3 linked regions of the Cricetulus griseus genome follow. The protein of the gene in region 1 interacts with the protein of each later gene in a pairwise test. Links are inferred from orthologs where the notes say so. Each region holds a gene or a part of one and is shown on either strand. Other genes may lie near its edges.

The links.
Region 2: the proteins of Ngly1 (region 1) and Ubxn2b interact in binary tests that used the Homo sapiens proteins (3 or more experiments, as listed by UniProt). The two-hybrid records come from large-scale screens. The link is inferred for Cricetulus griseus from reciprocal best matches to the Homo sapiens genes NGLY1 and UBXN2B.
Region 3: the proteins of Ngly1 (region 1) and Trafd1 interact in binary tests that used the Homo sapiens proteins (3 or more experiments, as listed by UniProt). The two-hybrid records come from large-scale screens. The link is inferred for Cricetulus griseus from reciprocal best matches to the Homo sapiens genes NGLY1 and TRAFD1.

What each region holds. Positions count from the first base shown.
Region 1 is NW_023276807.1:173,767,182-173,770,831, reverse strand, and holds part of Ngly1 (peptide-N(4)-(N-acetyl-beta-glucosaminyl)asparagine amidase), read right to left. Parts: intron 2,605-3,650; coding exon 2,494-2,604; intron 571-2,493; coding exon 406-570; intron 1-405. UniProt on the Homo sapiens protein: Specifically deglycosylates the denatured form of N-linked glycoproteins in the cytoplasm and assists their proteasome-mediated degradation. Cleaves the beta-aspartyl-glucosamine (GlcNAc) of the glycan and the amide side chain of Asn, converting Asn to Asp.
Region 2 is NC_048595.1:154,304,708-154,308,457, forward strand, and holds the start of Ubxn2b (UBX domain-containing protein 2B), read right to left. Parts: upstream 2,687-3,750; 5' UTR 2,625-2,686; coding exon 2,541-2,624; intron 1-2,540. UniProt on the Homo sapiens protein: Adapter protein required for Golgi and endoplasmic reticulum biogenesis. Involved in Golgi and endoplasmic reticulum maintenance during interphase and in their reassembly at the end of mitosis.
Region 3 is NC_048597.1:101,255,767-101,259,487, forward strand, and holds the start of Trafd1 (TRAF-type zinc finger domain-containing protein 1), read right to left. Parts: upstream 2,920-3,721; 5' UTR 2,783-2,919; intron 2,588-2,782; exon of another isoform or gene 2,563-2,587; intron 1,232-2,562; 5' UTR 1,221-1,231; coding exon 1,174-1,220; intron 1-1,173. UniProt on the Homo sapiens protein: Negative feedback regulator that controls excessive innate immune responses. Regulates both Toll-like receptor 4 (TLR4) and DDX58/RIG1-like helicases (RLH) pathways.

The sequences.
Region 1 (3,650 bases):
TTGGTAAGTGCTCACCTTTCTTTTCCCTTTTCATTTTAATTAAGTTTCACTACATGGCCACACTGAACTTGCAACTCTCTTGTTTCAGCTTCCCCAACATTTAGGGGTACAGGTCAGTGCTAACAGGAACAGCTACCTAAGAATTCTTATAGACTACATAAAGAAGATATTGAAAGCCTTGACAACTAAGGGAGCATATTATAAGAAATGTGTCTAGTTTTACTTTTAAATGGAAGCGAAAAATGAGATTTTAATCTTGTTTCGTATTGTAAATCTATTCCTATATCCCACTCACAAAACCTCCCAGAAGGAAAATCATTCTGATCATTTGCCAACTTGGTTTTCTAAAAGCCAAGAATGTAGTACAGCAAGCAGGAAGTCAGATTACTTGGCTAGAACACATACCTCTAGACCCATTTCACCTCGGGCTACTCTCCAAGCCAATGACCCAGACACCCTTCCACCAAGTTCTCCAGGTCGGGGGGTTTTGGGAGATATAAATTCAACAAGCTCCACAATTATCCTCTGAAGAAGTTCTTTTCTTCTGTTTTCTGACAATGTTAGCTGCCTCTGTAATTAATGTTTAAAATCAGAGTTTAGGGGAATACAGAAGTTCACCTCTAAGCAAAATAAAACCATTGATATTTTCAGACATCTTGAAAGATGCATCAATTTTACTTCCATACTCTTTAGAAAATTCAAAAGTATGGAACACTTAACTCTCCGTGTTTTATTTTTAACTCTTCATGAACTGGATTACTGCAGCTTTCAAATGGGAGATAGCACCTTCTCTTCTGGTTGTGATGGACTAGCTCAACCCCTAGTACTTCGCTTCCTCGGTAATCACTATGACCATTCCATACCTTATTTCAGAAATTTTCATACAAGAACATGTGGGTACATTTACATATACATTTCTACACAAGTACAAGTGCATCGTTATATTCAAGATAGAGTCTGATAATTAAATAAGACAGTTTTTGTGTCTTCAGACAGGGTCACATTATGTATTTCAGGTTAGCCTGGAATTCACTATCCTCCTGCTCCAGTCTCCCAATGGCTAAGCTTGCTAGGATTACAAGCATTTTCCAACAGGCCCAGCAATGACATACTGTGTGCATGTATGTGTATGTGCTGTACGTGTGTGGTGTGTGTGTACATGTGGTATGTGAATATGTGTGGTATGTGTGTTTCTGTTCAGGTGTAGCGTATGTGTGTGTGCATGTGTGCATACTATGTGTATGCATAGTGGCCAGAGGTTAACATCAGGTATCCTCCTCTATCTTTTTCTATCTCACTTTTGAGACAGGACCTCTAATGAACCTGAATCTCACTATCATAACCAGACTAAGCGGCCAGAAAGCTAAGTTCTGGGGTTACAGGTACAAGCTATCACATTTGTAGTTTACATGGGTTCTGGGAATCTGAACTCAGATCCTCATGTTTATGCAGGAAACACTTTACCCACTTAGCTATCTCACCAGCCCACAACTACATACTTCTCGTTTAAATATTGAAATTCTGTTTCACTGAACTTTGAGAAGGAATGTGACATTTAACATAAACACCCCACAATACTTCAATGAATTGTCCAAATTTACCATGAATAAAAAGACACTGGCTTATTAATGTAGTCTTGCTAGAAAGTTGTTACTGCTTTAGAAATTTCAATGGGGAAGACAGGGGGCAAAGCATACAGCTCAATCAGTAAACTGTTGAGGACCACAAGGCCCTGGGTTCCATGATGCATATATAACCTTGGTATGGCATTGGGTTAACATGTAGAGAATAAGAGACTGTAGAGTTCTCAACACTCCACAGGACATCTATAGCACACCCCTCCATTCAACCCTTGGGAATCATTGAAGAAGGAGACAGAAAGATTATAAGAGCCAATTGTGGATGAATGACTATAAGCAAAGGCACAGCAGGGCAATTGCACATATAAAACTCACAGTAGTTGTGACAGTATGTACAAGATCTGCTGCACAAGCTCAAGTTTGACAAAATCCCAGCATGGAGGCAGGGAGGTGGGCATACCCGCTACTAGCTAAGGAGCTATTGGGACAAGGAAAGGATACCTGATGTTAACCTCTGGCCTTTATGCAAACACACACAGTAGGCACACACACCTACAAGGGTAGGCAGACCAAGCTACAGGCAGGCCAGGTCTCATACACAAGAGTATGTGGGCAGCACAAATTACACAAAAAATTTTAAAAAAGGATATGAAGTTGGGTGGGTGGGTAGGGAGGAAGAGTGGATCTGGGAACAGTTGTGGAATGGTGAATATGATCAAAATATACTGCATGAAATTCTCAAAGAATAAAAGAAAAATTTAAAAATTAGGCACTGGTGTTGCCCATATTAGCCTAGTACTTGAGGACAAGGTTACATGAAACCTTGTCTCAATAAGTAAAGGGTTAAAACTGACTATTCCTGATGATATATAAAATTTCAAATATCCTATTTAAAATGATAGCCACCACATACCTGCTTGTTAAGCTCATTAATGGTTTCTCGGAGTAACTCCTCTTTAACCTTGGTTCTCCTGGATATCACCTCATCATGTTTACAAGAGTATCGCCAGGTGACATCAACTACCTGGAACCAATCATAGAACATACCTATTTAACAAAATCACACTGACCCTTTATTTTTTAGACATAACTACAATGCAAGAAATTTTTCCATGCAACTCAGAAAAATGTTGCCCTTTGTTGGGATTTTAAAGCCAGGGTTGAGGCTATTGCCCAATTAAAAAAAAAGGGGGGGCATGGAGGATTACAACCATAATCCAACACTTAGGAGGCTGAAGCAGGAACATTAGTGCAAGGCCTACCTCAGCTGTCATAGTAAACAATGAAAATGAAAGATATGGAAGAGAATGCGCCTTAGTTTCTTCAAGAAAATATACTGATAAATAAAGGGATAAAGTTTTCAGAATGTTAAGGTTTCAGTTTAAAGCTGATGCTACTGCAGAATTAAACAAAGCAAACTTCTTCACCCTCACGATTGTTTTATTACACAGCTGATTTCTGACAAAAAGGACAACTGAAGGAAAATGTCCAATCTTCCCAGCACACTATGCCAAAACAAATCATTATCTAGAAACTCAAAATAAACTTCAACAGAATTATCCCCAACTAGGTAAGAGTTTTAGATTAGGAGGTAAAACTAAAAATATAAAAACTGAAAAGAAAACAGGAGAAAATTATTGTCATGTGGCAGATAAAAATTCTTAGATGCAACATGAAAAGCAAAATCTGTAAGAGAACATGCTAAACTGGACTTAAGATTTTTTTCTTCAAATCATTTAGAACACACCAGGCAAATTTTTGTAACACATATTTCTAAAAATGAAATCAAAACAAAACAAAAACCAAAAAAACGCAACTTGCATAAGAACATAAAAAGAAACTTCTAAACTCAGAAGAGAACAAAACACACAATGGAAAAATAGGCAAAGAAGACACAGGTTTGGAAAAGGAACACCTTGCACAGGCTCCAACATACTGTGCCATTAGGAAAGTACACTTGGAAAGTACAACTATTCTCTCTTCGTCAGGGCTAAATTTAAAAGTAAAGCCACATTAAACTTTGGCAAAGATGTGGAGAAACTGGGAAGTCTCATGTACTGCTGGTAAGAA
Region 2 (3,750 bases), on another chromosome or scaffold:
ACACAATGGTTTCACATTTGGATCTGTGTAACTTCCAGCTTTTAAAGAACTTTTGAGGACAGTTCACAATATTGCCAATTTCTCTAAATCAATCTCATAATATAATTTCACTTAGCTGTTTTTAAAACTCAAGAACATAAAACAAGCTCAAAAGTACTGCTTTAAAGTTTATCAGACATAAATTTCATCAAGTTCAGAGAAAAGAGCTAAAAAAAATGAGATAACATTTAATGCAAAATTACATATTGCAGATATGTAGCTGAATACCTTCTAAATAAAGTAAAAATATATTTGTCCTTGAAACAGAATTTAAAATATTAATCTGATTATTACAGGTTCCCCCCCCCACTTTTGCTATTTGGGGCAATAATTTAAAATTTTTCAGCCTGGCATAGTGGTACATGCCTTTAATCCCAGCTCTTGGGAAGCAGAAGCTGGAGGATACCTGTGATTTTTGAGGCCAGCCTGGTCTACACAGTGAGGGGACTGTCGGGGCTGTGTAGAGAGACTGATTCAAAAGACAAGCAAAACAAAAGAAATTTCCTTAATGCTCCCCACTGGCTATTCAGTCGGTATGATTTTTGATCTTTGGTCTCCCACCCACTTTACAATCAAACAAGCCCACTCCCTCACCAAGTAACTATTTGTGTATTATTACCTCAGAAGGAAAAGATGAATAAATAAATGAGGCAAACTTAGCCAGTCATTTTCCAGGGCTGCAACCTGAACCCAGGCAGGGTCTAATGCATGATCATGTTTTTTTAAATGAAAATATAATTCCACCATCTCCCCCTTCTTCCCTCCCATGTTCATACACCCCCTTGTTCTCACTCAGCTGGATCCAAGCCTTAACTTAGGCACTTACTGTGTAAGTTCGGTGGATTACTGAACATCGCTGAGTTTAGTTTTTATGTCTTTAAATGCCTACCAAAATTTAAAGACATAAATTTAATCAGTTGAAAGATTCATGTAAGTAAAGTACAGGCACGTCCATTTCATCACCACAAGGTCTTTTTTTTGTTTTGTTTTGTTTTGTTTTTCGAGACAGGGTTTCTCTGTGTAGCTTTGGAGCCTATCCTGGCACTTGCTCTGGAGACCAGGCTGGCCTTGAACTCACAGAGATGGGACTGCCTCTGCCTCCTGAGTGCTGGGATTAAAGGCGTGTGCCACCAACGCTTGTTGTCAGTGTCCCTGTTTTCACTATCTTCCAGCACAGTCATCTGTCACCCTTCACTACTTAACAGAGCTAGAGTCATTAGAGAGGAGGGCAACTCAATTGAGAAAATGCTTCCATAAGATGGAACATTTCCTTAAGTAGTGACTGTGGGTGGTGTCACCCCTGGCTTAGGGATCCTGGGTTCAATAAGAAAGCAGTCTAGGCAAGCCATCAGGAACAAGCCAGTTAAGCAGCACCCCTCTAAGGCTTGTCTCCAGGTCTCTGCTCTGCTTGAGTTCCTATCCAGACTTCCTTTGATGATGAAGAGTGATATGGAAGCCTATGACAAATAAAATCCTTTCCTCCCCAAGTTGCTCTGGTCATGGAGCTTCATCATAGCAATAGTAACCCAGACTAAGACAACAAGTTAAGTGGCTTCGGGGTCGCCTGTAACTACCAACCAATGCTCAATACCATTATAACTTTGCACTGATTTGGTCTATTAAAGCTAGTTTACAAGCCTGTTTCAAATCTGTGGATACCACACAACAGTATCCACTACTACTTATGGATTTGATGCCTTATTTATCTCCAAATTCTCCAAAGCTTGAGCAGAAAGTTATAACAGCAAGTGGTCAGTATGTCTGGTTAAAGAATGAAGATTAGGTATTAAAAATGTTCTGTCAAGGTTTGACAATTCAGGCTCATTTATTCTTACCTTTAACCCCTAACATACCCTAACATACGTTTAATTACTCAATTTTATCAGTGATCTCATGGGGAGATAGAACAATGCCTAAAATGAGCAAGTAGTGTTAGCATCTGATAAAACAGCATTTATTTAGGGGGCAAGTGTTCAGCTGACTAATGTCAATGTCACAATATACCGAGTTTTATTTCTGTTACATTGTTTCATGGATTACCTCTTATAAGTGGGCTGTAACCACGGACTGAACTGTTTTAAGCTCTCTCCTTAAAAAACCAGAGCTTTTTGATAAGGGGGGGGGACTGTTTTTAATGTGTAAGTCTTCAAATCTGAAAGCTCGTCCAAGAGAACAAATCAACATGCGTTATTTTTAAGTTACTTTTTAAGTGATGGCTGACTTATCACAGGCCATGGTAACTCTCCAGAAGGCAGGCAGCATCAACCGGGAGCCACCTAGATGGCCCCGCAAAATGACATTCCAAACAACTACTTGGTGCACCGTGCGTGGCGAAGGGGATCCAGGTGCTGGCGCCTGCCGCTCGGGCACCCGTTTCCACGCCCCCCACCCCGCAATGTGCCTCCGGGAGAGACCTTGGCTGGTAATCATTCTCCTCAGGCGAGGTACAGCGTGGCTGTGGCCCGCGCCCTCCTGCCCGCGCCGCGCTCCTGCCTCCGTACCTGTAAGTCCCGCGCACTCGGGGGCCGTGGCCTCGAGGACCCCCTCTCCTGCTCCTCAGGGTCCGCGCGGCCGCCCTCCGCCATCTTCCACCCTCTTTCGGCGCCCGCCCCGGACTCGCGACTTCCGGGATGGTTGCTTAGCGACCTGGGAGGGGCGGAGCCTCTCGGTGACCAGCCCCTCCGGGAGGGGGCGGAGCCGTGTCTTCTTACGTCAGTCCTCGCTCCTTTCCCGCACCAGGCTGCAGTCCTTCGCTTTGGGCTTCCGGTCCTGCCAACCTTCCAGTCTTTGTTTGCAGTCACTGCCACTTGCTGGGTTGTCCTAGAGCGCAGCGTTGACTTGCTGATTCGTTTAACTCAACAGCTTCACCTTGCAAGTCTTGGTCCAATCTCTCATTTTCCCTTATCAAGGATTGGATGGTACATCCCTCCGCGTGGAACCGTGTGGAGGAAGAGGAACACAGTGAAGCTTTTGGCAATGAAATGGTGACTCTTAAGCCGCGGGATTGACTGAGTTCTTTCCTGTCTTATCCTAGGCACTTACAACCTCTCAAGGATTTCCCAGGTAGAAAAAAGAAGTCCGGTCCTCTATGAAACTTAAAAGCTAGTGAGGGAAAGACATAAACAGGTAACAGAATAAATTTGTAAATAAGCTTTGCAAACAGTATTATGGAAGGCCTGTATGTGAATGGAGAATAATCCGTTGGTACCCGCTGTGTGCATCGTGCTGCCGTACCAGCTTACAGTGTGTTGCTTTGGCATGTTCTTAAAAAAAAAAAAAGGCAAATTTTACCATCTAGAGAAGTTGAAATGGAGAGGTCTATAACAGACCTCTTAGAATTAAACCCACATCCTAGCCAATTTTGCATGATGGCCGCTGGTATGAAAATATATCCACATAGGCCTTCAGGTTCGTATGAAGACACTAGTCACATGAAAAAATTTTTTCAATAAAATTTGTGCCTTTTTCTCCTGTGAATCTATTCGGTTTCATTCTCAGGCCCAGCTGAGACTCTGAGAGTAAAGGAAGACGTCTCCTCCTCCATTTTAATGTATTCCACATGTATTTGAGCAAAGCAAATGATAGTTAAATTCACCTTGTAACTAGCAGTACAAACTACCATACCTTGTAGTGCTGTCCTGATATTCTAAATACACATTCTGCCTTAAAGGGTCCCATTAGCCGGGTGTTGCTGGCGCACACCTTTGATCC
Region 3 (3,721 bases), on another chromosome or scaffold:
GAAGAAGAAGAAGAAGAAGAAATAAAATAGCATACTTTGGGGACATATAAAAAAGCAGTTGGCTTCTTATATGTGTATAAACGCTGTAGGGGCTCAATAATAGAGTGTGCCTACCAAACATAAGGCTGTGCACAATCCCAACCTCTACCTTTCCCCACCTTCAAAAAGAGTGAAGATCCAAACGAATCCAATGGGCTTTTTGGGTTTTTTGTTTGTTTCTTTTCTTTTGAGATGGGACTACCTGTATAAGCCTCTGTAGACCAAGCTGTCCTGGAACTCACAAAGATCTTGCTGCCTCTGCCTCCTGAGAGCTAGGATCAAGGCATGTACCACTCAGCTCCAGTGTTTTTTTTTTTTTTTTTTTTTTGGGTGTTGGTTTTTTCGAGACAGGGTTTCTCTGTGTAGCTTTGGAGCCTATCTGGCACTCGCTCTGGAGACCAGGCTGGCCTCGAACTCACAGAGATCCGCCTGCCTCTGCCTCCCGAGTGCTGGGATTAAAGGCGTGCGCCACCAACGCCCGACTTTTTTTGTTTTGTTTTGTTTTGTTTTGTTTTTCAAGACAGGGTTTCTCTGTGGCTTTGGAGGCTGTCCTGGAACTAGCTCTTGTAGACCAGGCTGGTCTCGAACTCACAGAAATCCGCCTGCCTCTGCCTCCCAAGTGCTGGGATTAAAGGTGTGCGCCACCACTGCCCGGCTCTCAAGTTGTTTTTTTTTGTTGTTGTTGTTGTTTTTATTCTATCTATGGTTGCTTTACCTGCATGCATGTCTGTACACATGTGTGCCCGGTGTCCAGAGAGGCCAGAGGCCTTTGGATCTCCTAAAACTAGAGTTTCAGATGGTTGTGACCCACTGGGCACTGGAGACCAAACCTGGGTCCTCTGCAAGAGCAGGCAGTGCTCTAACCACTGAGCCATCTCTCCAGCCCAAGTCCTATCTTGCTAAGTCAAAATTCATTAAGGGCAGGACAGAGCCCCAAGTCCCAGCTCCATCCATTCCAATCTTTAGTACACCAGAGAAACTTCCCTGTCAAGTCCTAAACCATTCACCCAAATAGTTAAAAGGCTTGAGTTACAATGACTTACACCGTTTAGGGTCACAACCTGCAAATAAAATACCCAAGTCTTTACAGAGCTGCCATGGCCTCATGTCAGACCTTCAGATTCCATGTCTTACCAGTTGTCACACAGCCGGGCAGCCTGGTCATCTGCAAACTCAGCCATCTTAGCTCTTCCTGACAAATGCAAAGGAAGAGGTATCACTTTCTGTTTCATTTCTGCTTTAGGGATGACATGCAAGAGAATGAAAACTTGGGGCATTCCTTCTCATTTTTCTTGAATTTCCAACTTAAAAAATACTTACAAAAAAGCTTACAATACAAAGACCTCCTTTATGCCCTTCAGTCAACTGCAGCAAAAGTTAACATTCTTAAATCCTAATATTAACTTTAAAAATAACTAACTAATCTACAGACTTTATCCAGATGGCAGTGAGGCCACCAACCCCTTTTCTGGTTCAGTTTCAGCCCTGGGACAAATAAAGCACTTAGATGTTGCTCCTCACTCTGACTTCAAAGTGCTCTAGTTTTTCTCTCTCACGGCTAATTCAGCTAGTTAGTACTAGCTATTGGCTAGTTATTTTGTAGAAAAACCTTCAGTCTGGGTTTGTCTGATGTTTTCTTGGGATTAAACTCATGCTATACTTTTGGCAGGGGTACATCGACGTGAGGAACCTAGGCTGGGGCTCAGGTGGTACAGGGCCCTGTGTTCCCTGACCAGCCATAAAACTGGGCATGATGGTACATGCCTGTAATCTTACCACTAGGGAAATGGGGGCAAAAAAAAAAAAACAACAAAAATCAAAAATTCAAAACCTTCTTGGCAACATGGTTAGTTAAGTTCAAAACCAACTTGGGATACATTATACCCTATTAAAAAAATAAAAGCCAGGCAGTGGTGGCTCACGTCTTTAATCCCAGCACTCAGGAGGCAAAGGCTGTTGGGTCTCTGTGAGTTCGAGACCAGCCTGGTCTACAAGTGCTAGTTCCATGGCAGCCCTCAAAGCCACAGAGAAACCTTGTCTCAGAAAACCAAAAAAAAAAAAAAAAAAAAAAAAAAAAAAAAAAAAAAAAGCAACAGAGAGCTCATGTTGGTACATCGTATTAAAAGGAAAAAGGAACAGGATGACTTGTGACGCTACCTACTTAGTTGAGATGGGGCCTACCATGTTTTTTCTCTGTCAAATTTGAAGCCCTCCCACCCGGGCACGCCAGGCAAAGGCGATCCGCTCCAGCCCTTTCTCTTGCAGCGCCAATGTTTACATCACTCCTTCCCTTGACACAAAAATAGATGTAGGTACTGACTGCTAACAAGGGGCCAGGCTGATCTGGACACTGTCAAGTCACCTGCCATTCTCGGTACCCTGGCAACTGAGCCTATTTAACGAATTAAAGAGTCCAATGTAGCAGAGCCTGGAAAACAAGCAATGAAACTAGGTAACCTAAGGTGAGTGTCTAAGTGAAACCTCGCAGACAAAGCGGGCTGCCGGGCGGACGGACCGACGGACCTCTGTCGACAGCGGGGAAGGCTCTGCGAGCGGGAGGCCCGGGGAGGCGGAGGCAGGCCGGGCCACACGCCACGGCGGCGCCTCGGGGAGCGGCCGCTCTGCTCTCCGCGGGCCGGAGCGGTTGGAGCGGGCCGGGCCTCCGCCTCCGCCCCCCGCCGCGAGCCTCGGCCTCGGCCGCCGCCACCCGCCCCGCCTCGCCCCACCCCCCGCCCACGTTCACCTCGGAGCCCAGCGGGAACGCCGCCGCCACAGCCGCCTCGGCCGCCCCGCGCCAACAACGGCCCAGCCACCGGGCCGCTTCCCACCGTCGCCGAGGGGCACGCCCATTGGATGGCCGTGAGGCAATACAGGACACCTACTGGACGGCAGCGCTGCCGCTCTCTCTGGTCCGCCTCCTCATCCCCCATTGGCTCACGGCGCTCAGGGGCGGGGCTTCTCACATCTGGAAGCCGACCTCTCTGCCGGCTCGTGCATTGATTGCCTGACTAATACTGGGCAAACATTCCCGATGTGCCCAATAAGACGGTGAGTGGCGTTTGTGCTTTGTCATGGGCTGTTAATAGCCACTCGCCATCCTTGTCATTAACGCTTCCTCGTGCCAGACCTCTTGGAGGCGCCGGAGACTCCTATGTGACAGCAAAGTCTCCTGCCTTGGTGGAGCATCTCATACCTAATGGATACAAAAGGGAAAATTCTAAGTCTAACCTGGCATATAAACTGCAAAGGGCACACCTAAGCTGTGTGGATGGGGAGATGATGGCTCCACAGTTAGGAGCGCTTGCTGTCCTTATAGAGGACCCGACTTTGGGTCTCAGCACAACAGGTGCTTCACAACCTCCTCAACCTCCTTTTTTTTTTTTTTTTTTTTTTTTTTTGGTTTTTGGTTTTTCGAGACAGGGTTTCTCTATGTAGCTTTGGAGCCTATCCTGGCACTCGCTCTGTAGACCAGGCTGGAACTCACAGAGATCTGCCTGCCTGGGATTAAAGGCATGTGCCACACGGTCTGGAAATAAAATGTTTTTAAAATGTAACAGAAAAGCAGAGCACAGAAGCTCGAACCTTTAATCCCAGCACTCTGGCCTCAACTGCCTATGCACCAAGGATGACCTTAAACTCAATATCCTCCTGCCTCCATCTCCCAAGTACTGGGTTTGCAGGC